Linked DNA regions of Xenopus tropicalis. The protein of the gene in region 1 interacts with the protein of each later gene in a pairwise test. Links are inferred from orthologs where the notes say so. Each region holds a gene or a part of one and is shown in the gene's direction. Other genes may lie near its edges. The genes, in order: top1.1, btbd1 and btbd2.

Region 1 (3,658 bases):
CCTCTGGCATTTGCCTGAACCCACAGATTGCCAGTCTGGGCCTGGGTCCTGGCATTCCAAGTACCCAGAGGCCCAAACAGCCCCCCCCCCCAGCCCAATAAATAGTGACTGTCTATGGCATCTTACAGCAGCCCCTCTGGCATTTGCCTGAACCCACAGATTGCCAGTCTGGTCCTGGGTCCTGGCATTCCAAGTACCCAGAGGCCGAACAGCTCCCCCCAAACCCAATAAATAGTGAGTGTCTATGGCACCTTACAGCAGCCCCTCTGGCATTTGCCTGAATCCACAGATTGCCAGTCTGGACCTGTACATTTTAATAAACCTCTAAATCTATTTAGGGTCACCCAAAGCATTTGTGTATGAAGATCACCATTCATACCCCCTCCACAATCCTATCACACCCCTGGGGCAAGGGGGGTATGGATACTTGGTGCCTTTACATAGCTGGTCCATAGCTTTCTGGGGAATTGACATTCGGAGACAAACATCAGTAGTTTGGGGATTTTTTTGCTCAGTAAGTTGGGGTGTTGTCCTCCTTCTACTCTAAAAAGTATAAAACTGATAAAGCTTAGTTCTAAAAAGGGAAAATAGGAATAGATGCAACACTATATGGCTGAGTTTGCCACAATGTAACTTTGCCTTGATTCTGTAAAGCACTTGGTATCATCCAATAAAGTTTACTAGCGTGGGCATGTAGGCGTGGGAGCTGCGAGTGTAATAGAAGAGATTGGCAGGGAGTGTGGGAAAGGAGGGGGTACCATGAGAGTATTTAGAGCCTCCCCTTTTTTAGTGAGCACTGGGTAAGCTTTCATTCACACTGCTCCGAGGTGTATCCGGCATTGAAATGAACGAAGTGTCATTGACTAAATATGTCTCCCGCGGGGATTGGATAATTATACCCGATGTAAGCAACTGGTTACGGCTTGGAATTTGTGCATTTATCTTCTACTGGCAATGGAACGTTCCTGGAAAGCCGAGCAGGTGGGACGTCTGTTTACCTGATGGGAGCATTATAATGTTTCAATTGCCATGGCTGCTCATCTGGCTTCCACCTGTTTCCCCAAAGGAGGAATCCGGGATTCTGTGCATTCCCTTTACATAGAGTATGTAGGATGTGTTTAGTAGGTAGAAAAGTACATTCTGGGCCTAGGAGGGACTGAGCCCTTAAACATTTGAGATCCCATGGTATTTTTGGGAATGCATACTGGGATCACTGGGAACCACTGCACTGACCCCAAATTCAGACTGTAGGCCTGGTCCTCCTAGTGAGGCCCATATAACTGGCTGGGTGGGGGGGAGGCTAAAGGCTGGTAATGGTGAAATTTGAGGAGAATAATAATAATAATGTGTAACTCAAGCCATTTCTGGTGGCCAGTTGTGATCCCCTGACCTATTGTTTAATGCCATAAATGCCATATTTATTAAGTATACTCAATTACCAAGTATGCTTATTGGCTTAAGGACAATGGCATAGGTAGGTAGTTTTCTCCAACTTGCTTGCACTAGTACAAGGTTCATACTATACAAAGGAAAAGTGAATCAATCAAAATGAACAATCACTTATTTAAATGTTAGGGGAAACGGAACTGCAGTGTTTCAGAGCTTTCCGGATAATGGGTTTGTAAGTAATGGAACCCACAAATTATGGTGCACACAGTCGTAGGGATAATTATCCTTGTGTTTCGTAAGCATTGCTATTTCCCAGTAAGTATATAGAATATACACAAGCTTAGTTATGACTGATTTCCCTGCATAATGTGATGCTGAAGGATGGGGCACCTCAAATGGTTGTAAATACAGAAAACAATAGAACATAATTATAGCGAGCACCTATTAAGTTAAAAAAACATTGGATACCGTTCATTTCTTTCAGACCCATGCCACCCCTCCCAGTGACCCAGTTTGGCAATTGGGGTTGTTATAGAACAATTCTTTAGCCCCAGACAGTCTATTGTCTAATTGCAGGTGGGGACTTCAAAAATCAATAGCTGGGGGCAGTTAAGCTTGCTTGGCCATTTCTGGTAGGTGGCAGTGCCTTCCTGCTGTCAGTCTGCTATTGAAGCTGCTCTGCCCTGTAGGCATGTTCCCTTCCACCCAACGCATTCCGCAAATATCAGCCTGGTAACTGCTCGTTCTCCTGGTTATTAACCCCTAAAACCACAGTCTGCCCTGGAGGAAGTGTTTTTAGCTTTTAAAAAAACAAAACAAATTGTAGTGTATAAATTACAGGCTAAACCTCGTGGTAGCCAGCTTGCCTGTCCCACTTAGCCTGCCAGGGCTGTTTGCTTTATAAAGGGTAACTTGTTTAGTAACTGATTTTTTGTTTTCTCCGGGATTTAGACTCTCATAAACACAAGAAAGACAAAGAACATCGCCACAAAGAACATAAGAAAGACAAAGACCGGGAAAAATCCAAACACAACAACAGGTATGTTCCTACCTTTCCTGAAAGGGCTGCTGACTCCATTAGAAAATCTCACAAGTTAAATTAGTGGGATAGTTATTGATACTGAAGCACTTATACGTTTGTGGGACAGCTAATATAGGGAATCAGGGCCATGTCTAGGCTGTTTATCCATGTAAAAGGTGTCCTGCCTTATAAAATGATTGCTATAAGGATAAGTGGTTATAAAGTGCTGTGTGGCCTTAGCCATCTTTAAGTTTGTAGTAGGAAAATGTACTGCTTGTATGAATAAATACAATATGAAGATAGACAAGGCTAGGATCTGGACTACATATTTAGCACAAACTGTACTTGGCCAGCCGTGTTTCTCTGATGAAAATCTAACAAATTAAAAAAGGAATCTCCTGAGCCCATACATAGACCAGTGCCATCGCAGCAGCTATATGCCCATGAATTGGATGTGGGAGATTTAGTGTTTGCAACCTACAGCTCTTTTTTTCTGTTTTTCCCCTCCAGTGAACACAAGGATCCTTCAGAAAAGAAGCATAAAGACAAACACAAAAACAATGACAAACATCGGGAAAAGGATGGCGAGAAACACAGAGAAAAAGATGGGGAGAAACACAGGGACAAAAATGGCGAGAAACACGATAAGCATCGAGAGAAAGATGGCGAGAAACATAAAGATGGAGAGAAACACAAAGAGAAAGATGCTGAGAAGCATAGAGATGGAGAAAAGCATAAAGATAAACACAGAGATAAAGATCGGGAGAAGAGAAAAGAAGAAAAGGTGAGGCTGTCATCTCCATTAAGGTGGCCACACACGTGGCGATTTGGGATGGTCGCACGAAAGATCGTTCAATCAGCCACTAACTGTTCAGAGCTGAAACGGCAGATAAGGTGGTAGAAACAATAGGATTTCTACCTCCTTCTGCCGATTCAGCTCTGATGGCAGAACTTGCTCAGGCTCCTTCTATGGCGCCCGATCAAAATCTTTTAACCGGTCCGATCGGCGAGTTGACCGATATATCAGCAGCCTCCTGCGATATTGGTCGACTCGCCGACTTGCCATACACGCACCGAATATCATACAAAACGAGGTTTTGAGGACCTCCTGCACTCATATTTATTGTATTCACTATGACCAGTATCACTGTTTAACCTGACTGCTTTTATCTCTTGCAGATGAAATCTTCCAGCGGCAGTGTTAAAGTGAAAAAAGCAAATGGTTTCTCTAGGTAAAGGCAATGGGTC
Region 2 (3,658 bases), on another chromosome or scaffold:
GGGTGTGCCGGCCATGGATTATTTCATGCTATATATATATATATATATATATATATATATATATATACAGAAAAAAACAGAGCACACCCTAATAGTAATCAACTGCCCTGGGTGCTTGCAAAAAACATGTATAAAGCAAGACAGTGAGCCGCACACACAGGGACTATTGTGTTATTAATGAAAAAAATCCAACGTTTCGAGCACCAACTGTGCTCTTCCTCAGGGTTTGTCCCTGAGGAAGAGCACAGTTGGTGCTCGAAACGTTGGATTTTTTTCATTAATAAAAATTTTTTTGTTTTCTAACTAAGTCCCTGTGTGTGCGGCTCACTGTCTTGCTTTATATATATATATATATATATATCCAAATGGTGTCCGCACTCCAAGGCTCAATATTCTGTGGGGTGCTTAGCCAAAATTATGTATGCATAGAAAATAATCATCTGTGGCCAGCACACCCTTCAATGTTTCATCAAAAAATTTTTTATTGCAGATATATTGTTAAAACCAACGTTTCGGTCCTTGTTAGGACCTTTCTCAAGGATCCTTGAAACATTGAAGGGTGTGCTGGCCACAGATGATTATTTTATATATATATATATATATATATATATATATATATATATATATATATATATAGACTAATGGTGGCCACACACGTGGCGATTTGCAATCTAAAGATCGTTAAATCCGCCACTAACCTTCAGGGCTGAAACGGCAGATAAGGAGAAACAATAGGATTTCTACCTCCTTCTGCTGATTCAGCCCTGAGGACAGATTTTGCTCAGGCGCCTTCTATGGCGCCCAATCAAAATCTTTTAACCTGGCCGATCGGCGAGTCGACTGATATCAGCAGCCTCCTGCGATATCGGTCGATTCGTCGGCTTGCCATACACACACCGAATATCGTACGAAACGAGGTTTCGTACAATATTATCGGTGTGTGTATGGCCAGCTTTAGACTGTGTCACTTGAAGAGGAGTGTCTAAATTGTCTCTTGGATTGAGGTGCCTCATTCGTGGCATCACTTCCACAACTTGTTGAGCAAACTCCCCTGTTCATTGTTGGGAGTTACATTTACATTTTCTGCCTAGTGGATAAAAGGTGTAAGGACTTGTCAGGATGTTAGTTTTATTAAATGACAGCACAAGTTGCCATTATATCTAATCTATATCTATCTATCAGTTTAATTGTAGCCCTGCTCATAGGCACTATGGAGTAGCTATAGTGGGATGCAATGGTCGCATATACATCTGACTTACTTTCTTTGTCCCATATTTACCCATGCAAAGAGCACAAATATGTGGGGGTCCATGAGGGTCAGGGCTCTGTCAGTAACTGCAGTTGCTAGAACATAAAGATGGCCAGGAGTGTACCGATTTTCACTTCTTGTATGCTGGCTAAACCATTACAACTGATATTTATCTTGATTTTTGGTTATTTTACTAATCGGACAGGTTTAAAAGGGACGTTTACGTTCATGTTAACTTTTAATGTGTCATTAAATGTTCTGTTCTAAAGCTGGCCACACACGTGGCGATTTTCCACTGACATTCAGGGCTGAATCGTCAGATATGGAGGTAGAAACAATAGGATTTCTACCTCCTTCTGCCGATTCAGCCTTGAACATAGATTTTGCTCAGGCGCCTTTAATGGCGTCCGATCAAAATGTTTTAACCTGCCCGATCGGCAAGTCGTCCGATACCTGTGGCCTTCTACACAATATTATCGGTGCGTGTATGGCCAGCTTTAGTAACTTTTCTTTGCTAATTGTTATTACTTATGTTTCTTTTTAGTTCCCCTACTATTTATAGTCCAGTCTATCATTCAAGCTATTGCCTGGTTGCTAGGATAAATTGGACCTGAACAACTTGATAGCTGTTGAAATTTCAAACTGGAGAGCTGCTGAACAAAAAGTTAAATAATTAAAAAACATGGAAAATAAAAAAAATGTCTATACCATACTATAAGTTAAGTCAAAGGAGAACTACCCCTTTAAAAATCTTATCTGCCAGCTACCCATGTTGGATAATAAATGGTGCAAAAGATGAGGAGGTGAATCTGATATGGTGGCTGACTAGTAGCTGTAAGTGCTATGAACAAACCAATTCACCAATGATTTAGATTTTTTTTAAGAATATATGGCCTTCCTGTAACTGAGAATCTGCATATTTATAACTCAGAATTTTCTGGACGGTTACACTTTTTTTGTCAAACCATATGGAATTCACTGTGACTGTATTAAATGATTAGTTGCATCTTTCCTCAGACACATTGTGCGCAGTCTTACAGCGAGACACCCTGAGCATTCGGGAGAGCCATCTCTTTGGTGCGGCCGTTCGTTGGGCAGAGGCTGAATGTCAGAGGCAGCAACTTCCTGTCAGCACAGAAAACAAAATGAAGGTTCTAGGAAAGGCGCTGCCCTTGATCCGTTTCCCTCTAATGACAGTAGAGGAGTTTGCAGCAGGTAATTTAGTGACTGGGAGTGCATCACTGTGATGCTTGGAGTTAAATGTTTAACTATATCTGAAGAGTTACAGGCTTCCTATATATGTATTAGTGGTGCAAGAACCAAGGATGGATATACTCGTATGGCCTAATATAGTACAATATGTATTTCTTATACCACTTGGCCAACATTATAAAGCATGTTGTCTAATTTATTAAGCATCACTAAATGTACTTTTGTGAAATGCAGCTACCTGGTGATAACTGCGGGTGATGGTATAAAGAATGAGCACTGTATTTCCACACCAACTTGCCCACTACAGTGGTATTTTTGTTTTATATTTGTCATGGCAGGTCCTGCTCAGTCTGGAATTTTGTCAGACCGGGAAGTGGTAAACCTCTTTCTACATTTTACAGTAAATCCTAAGCCTCATGTAGACTATACTGATCGCCCACGATGTTGTCTCCGTGGAAGAGAATGCAGCATTACCAGATTCCAGCAAGTGGAAAGCCGATGGGGATACAGTGGAACAAGCGACAGGGTCAGGTGATACTACAGACAACAATTCCCCATGCTTGACAGTCCTTATTGGGATTTCTTATTATAGGGGATTTCTATAAAATGGGTAGCCTCTGAAGGCAACACAAATGCCTTATGATACAAATTATATACCAGTTTCATTTATATAATTATTACTATTCTATTGTTTGTAAAGCACAAACATAGTGCTGGGCAGTATACCGCCATATACCGAATACCGTTTTTTAAAAAAAAACTGATATTCATTTTTTAAATACCCCCATACCGGTGAAGATCGGGTTGCGCCCCGTGTGTACATGACGTCAGTACGCACGGGGCGCCGGTGCGTACTGACATCATGTACGCACGGGGCGCAACCCGAAGCGGCACGGGCCGCATCGCTGGCCTGGAGCTGGCCAACTTGCTGTATGGGGGGTGGTGCTTATAAATAATAATCCTAATTATAAGGGGAAAGGGGGGGGAAAGCTTCCTGCTTAGCTGGTCACACAGTGACGTTCTAAGACACTGGATTTACATGGAAGCATCTTGGCTTGCTTGTGTTTCCTCTATAGGGTGAATGATCTCAGTCTGGGCAATGCTCCCATAGTTCTGACACTACAAAACACTTGCCCATCTGTTACCAAAATTTAAAGCATACGTGTTTGCCCACATTAATGGCATTATTGATTTCTG
Region 3 (3,658 bases), on another chromosome or scaffold:
CAAACATGCACAGTGCAATAGATAAGCCTTAGCTTGCCATACCAAATTATCAAACCGTTTATTTGGAGCTAGGCCTTGTTTGTCCCATACTGCTTATTGCTATTTTCTTATGTTGTCTCAAATGATTTGCTTTTCCAGTTAAATAAGATGCCGTTTCCCTCAAAATATCGGTTCTAGCGTGTGAACATTTTTGAAATTTTATAAAAACATTTTAAAGTACACTTACTCACGTGCAGTGTATACTCTAGCAATAATGTGGCAAATGATAGCCTCTTAGGTTAGAATAAATTATTACAAGAGATGTTGTCACTATATCATTTTTTAAAATGCTTGTTCATTCAGGCCTTTACATGTAGTTTAGTCGTTAGAGTCCTATGTGGGTCTAATCACGTGGACTTGACCTTTACCCACAGACTTAGCCTCTTGGACCCAATACCATCCTCCAACAACAAACCAAAGGCAGGAAGTTGGGATTTGAAGTGGAGAGGCTTAAGGTGGCCATAGACAGGCAAATTTGTAATTATTGATTCAAGCCCTTCAGACCTATTTGGCAGCTTATCTGCCTCTGATGGTCCTATCTGACCAATATCTGGCTGAAAATCGTCCAGAGGTCGATCGAGCAGGTATGATCGCATTGGCTGGTTGATGTGGTCTTCCCTTAAATAGTTAGTTGTAATCCAGTCATTTGGCCCTAGGGCCAAAAGATTGGGTTAGCCCAATATCAGCCATCTTAGGTGGCAACATCACCAAACAAGCGGATTTTATAGTATATGGTTAGCTTTATTGCTTAAAGCAGAGTACCGGTACCCACAATAAAATAACTGTGACATTTACATTAACACACTTAGATTCTTATAATATTTTTAATCAACAATTAAAAAAAAAAAACAAACATCATGAATAGCGGAAACACTATGCCTTTTTTTCACAAACAGCTTTTATTCTGGTAGTCTGAGCACCGTTGATCACTTCCAAAAACACATGCAGTCTCCTGATAACATTGGCCTTAGTATATACTTTTATTGGAGCAGGGATGATGTAAATGGGTACCTTGGAAATCTTGTACACCATGTTGGCCATTGCTCTTCCACTTTCTCTCTCCATTTATGCTTTACATCTTTTACTCTTATACAGCATTGCACAGATGTGCGGCTGAAAAAACATTCTGTTTTCTTTCAGCTGTTTCTTGACTTTTCCCCATTTTGATTTAGCTTTCTTCTCTAACTCCTTTACATTTGCTCACTCCTCCCCTTTCTTCTTCTGCTCTCCCTACCCTCTAATTTCACCCCTTTCATCTCTCTCTTTCTGAAATTGTAAGCGGGCTGTTTTGTGACGTTGGTGCAGCAATGGCTTATTTTTTTTCTGCCAACTCTACCATGCAGTTGGAGAATCTCCTTATTGTGCATGCTGAGACAACAACGGCACTTTGTTTTAGAAAAGCATGTATTTCAGTAGAAGTTGCTTAATGGTTTTTGTTTGCATCCTGAGAAAGTCTCCTGACAGTTGTGTCTGAAATCTTTCCTGGTCTATTTGACTGTAGCTTGTTATGGGAAAACCATTTTTGACTTCATCATCAGAGTTTGAACAATACTGATTGGAACTTCCTGTTCAATCACTTATTTATATTCTTGTGCCTGTCCCTCCCCACATGGGTTTATTAGTAATGCTGGCCTGTTGGGTTTAATTGGGAGAGGATGGGTTATGGTAAAGCCAAGGACAACCTGCGCATTACTAAACACAAAAAAAAAAAACTTTTAAAACTTATAACAGTTGTAACTGATGCATATCGGAAAATTGCTAAGAATTATATTTTCTTTCATCAGTCAAAATGCTATCGTATTTCTAATGAATATAAATTGTATATGAAATGATTCTAGTAAAGTGACTGAATGTATCTTTGAAAGCAACTCAGTGTTTATACTTCTTAGGTTTGTGTTGGCTGTGGGAAGTGCAGTCTTTGATGCTATGTTTAATGGTGGAATGGCTACAACGTCCACAGAAATAGAATTGCCAGATGTTGAACCTGCTGCATTCCTTGCTTTGTTAAAGTAAGTACAGTATATGCTTACCTTTTTTGAGGGTATTAGTGCCTATTACTTCCATACTTTAGTATAGGTTAATGCTTTCACTTTATACAGGTATGGGATTTGTTATCCAGCTCTTAATTATGGGAAGGATGTCTTTCATGCATTCCATCAAATAACTCAGATTGTTCTTTTTCTCTGTAATAATAAAACAGAACCTTGTACTTGATCCCAACCAAGATATAATTAATCCTTATTGGTGGCAAAAAATGCTATTGGGTTTAATCAATCTTTAAATGCTTTTTTAAGTATACTGAAGGTATGGAGATCCAAGTTATGGAAGGATCCCTTATCCAGAAAACCCCAGGTCCTGAGCATTCTGGATAACAAGTCCCATACCTGTATATGTAACAGTAAACACTGTAAAAGTAAGTTTTGGTGCATTATTGAGTGTACATAATCAAGGACCACATATCCTTAGGAAAATAGAATACAAAAAATCTTTATATAGAGCTTTACAAAAAATGGTTAAATCATTTTTGTGTAAAGTAGGCATTTACCTGGGCTTTTGTCTAATCAGCACTAATGTTGTTTGAGGTTCCTTTACTCTGATGAAGTACAGATCGGTCCAGAGACTGTAATGACAACTTTATACACGGCCAAGAAATATGCTGTACCTGCCCTGGAGGCGCACTGCGTGGAATTTCTAAAGAAGAACCTTCGAGCAGATAATGCTTTTATGTTGCTTACACAGGTATTTTTATTATTCACATAACCTTATAATGTACCAAAGTATTCCCCAGCACTGTACAGTAGAAACATATATACATTAAACATGCAGATTACATACAAATACTGATGCAGCAGGTAAAAAGGGCCCTACTTTGAATTGTCAGATTATGTTCATAATAAGCTTTGCATTCTCATTATTTTGATATAAATGTTATGTTAAGTACAGAGGTATGAGGGGTTCTTATTGGCATATCTGTGTAAAAGAAAAAACAACTGGCAAACCAATGGCAAAACTTTTTTAAAAAATGGCAGATCGTCCCTGAAACTAATTGATAGTTTTGTAAACCCATAACTGGTAAATAAAAATGTCTCATTAAGATCTACTAAGACATTAAAACTGCTAATTGTTAGGTTCTTATGCTGTCATCTTGCATTTTGAGTATAGGTAAAATGAAATAATTGCAAAACTTTGAGAGTTTGTTTTGGTACCATAAACAAGAGCTGACTTCTTGCATTTTGTTGTTATAACAACTTTAGGCTCGGCTGTTTGATGAACCTCAGCTAGCAAGCCTTTGTCTGGAAAACATTGATAAGAATACCTCAGATGCCCTAAATGCAGAGGGTTTCACTGACATCGATTTAGGTAATTTTATCAAAGCTTGTCTCCCTCCTCATGGCCTGAATACTAAAGCATGGTTCAGTGCATGCATTTAAAGGCATAGTTTAGGAGAATGGCACACCCAGCTATCCCTTGTCCACAGAAAATCACTAGTAGCTCTGACTTTCTAAAAGTACTGCATGAAGTACGCAATATCGTGCCTGACTCTTTGGATCTGTAGCAGAGCCCCCTACAGACATAATTTGTTTTTTTTTTCCATTAGTTTTGTTTTCTCTCAGGCTTT

The links.
Region 2: the proteins of top1.1 (region 1) and btbd1 interact in a two-hybrid assay, tested with the Homo sapiens proteins (2 studies listed by BioGRID). The link is inferred for Xenopus tropicalis from reciprocal best matches to the Homo sapiens genes TOP1 and BTBD1.
Region 3: the proteins of top1.1 (region 1) and btbd2 interact in a two-hybrid assay, tested with the Homo sapiens proteins (2 studies listed by BioGRID). The link is inferred for Xenopus tropicalis from reciprocal best matches to the Homo sapiens genes TOP1 and BTBD2.

What each region holds. Positions count from the first base shown.
Region 1 is NC_030686.2:40,925,801-40,929,458, reverse strand, and holds part of top1.1 (DNA topoisomerase 1), read left to right. Parts: intron 1-2,340; coding exon 2,341-2,428; intron 2,429-2,920; coding exon 2,921-3,194; intron 3,195-3,589; coding exon 3,590-3,642; intron 3,643-3,658. UniProt on the Homo sapiens protein: Releases the supercoiling and torsional tension of DNA introduced during the DNA replication and transcription by transiently cleaving and rejoining one strand of the DNA duplex.
Region 2 is NC_030679.2:105,416,870-105,420,527, reverse strand, and holds part of btbd1 (BTB/POZ domain-containing protein 1), read left to right. Parts: intron 1-2,266; coding exon 2,267-2,464; intron 2,465-2,799; coding exon 2,800-2,992; intron 2,993-3,658.
Region 3 is NC_030677.2:102,971,202-102,974,859, forward strand, and holds part of btbd2 (BTB/POZ domain-containing protein 2), read left to right. Parts: intron 1-1,928; coding exon 1,929-2,048; intron 2,049-2,621; coding exon 2,622-2,778; intron 2,779-3,293; coding exon 3,294-3,399; intron 3,400-3,658.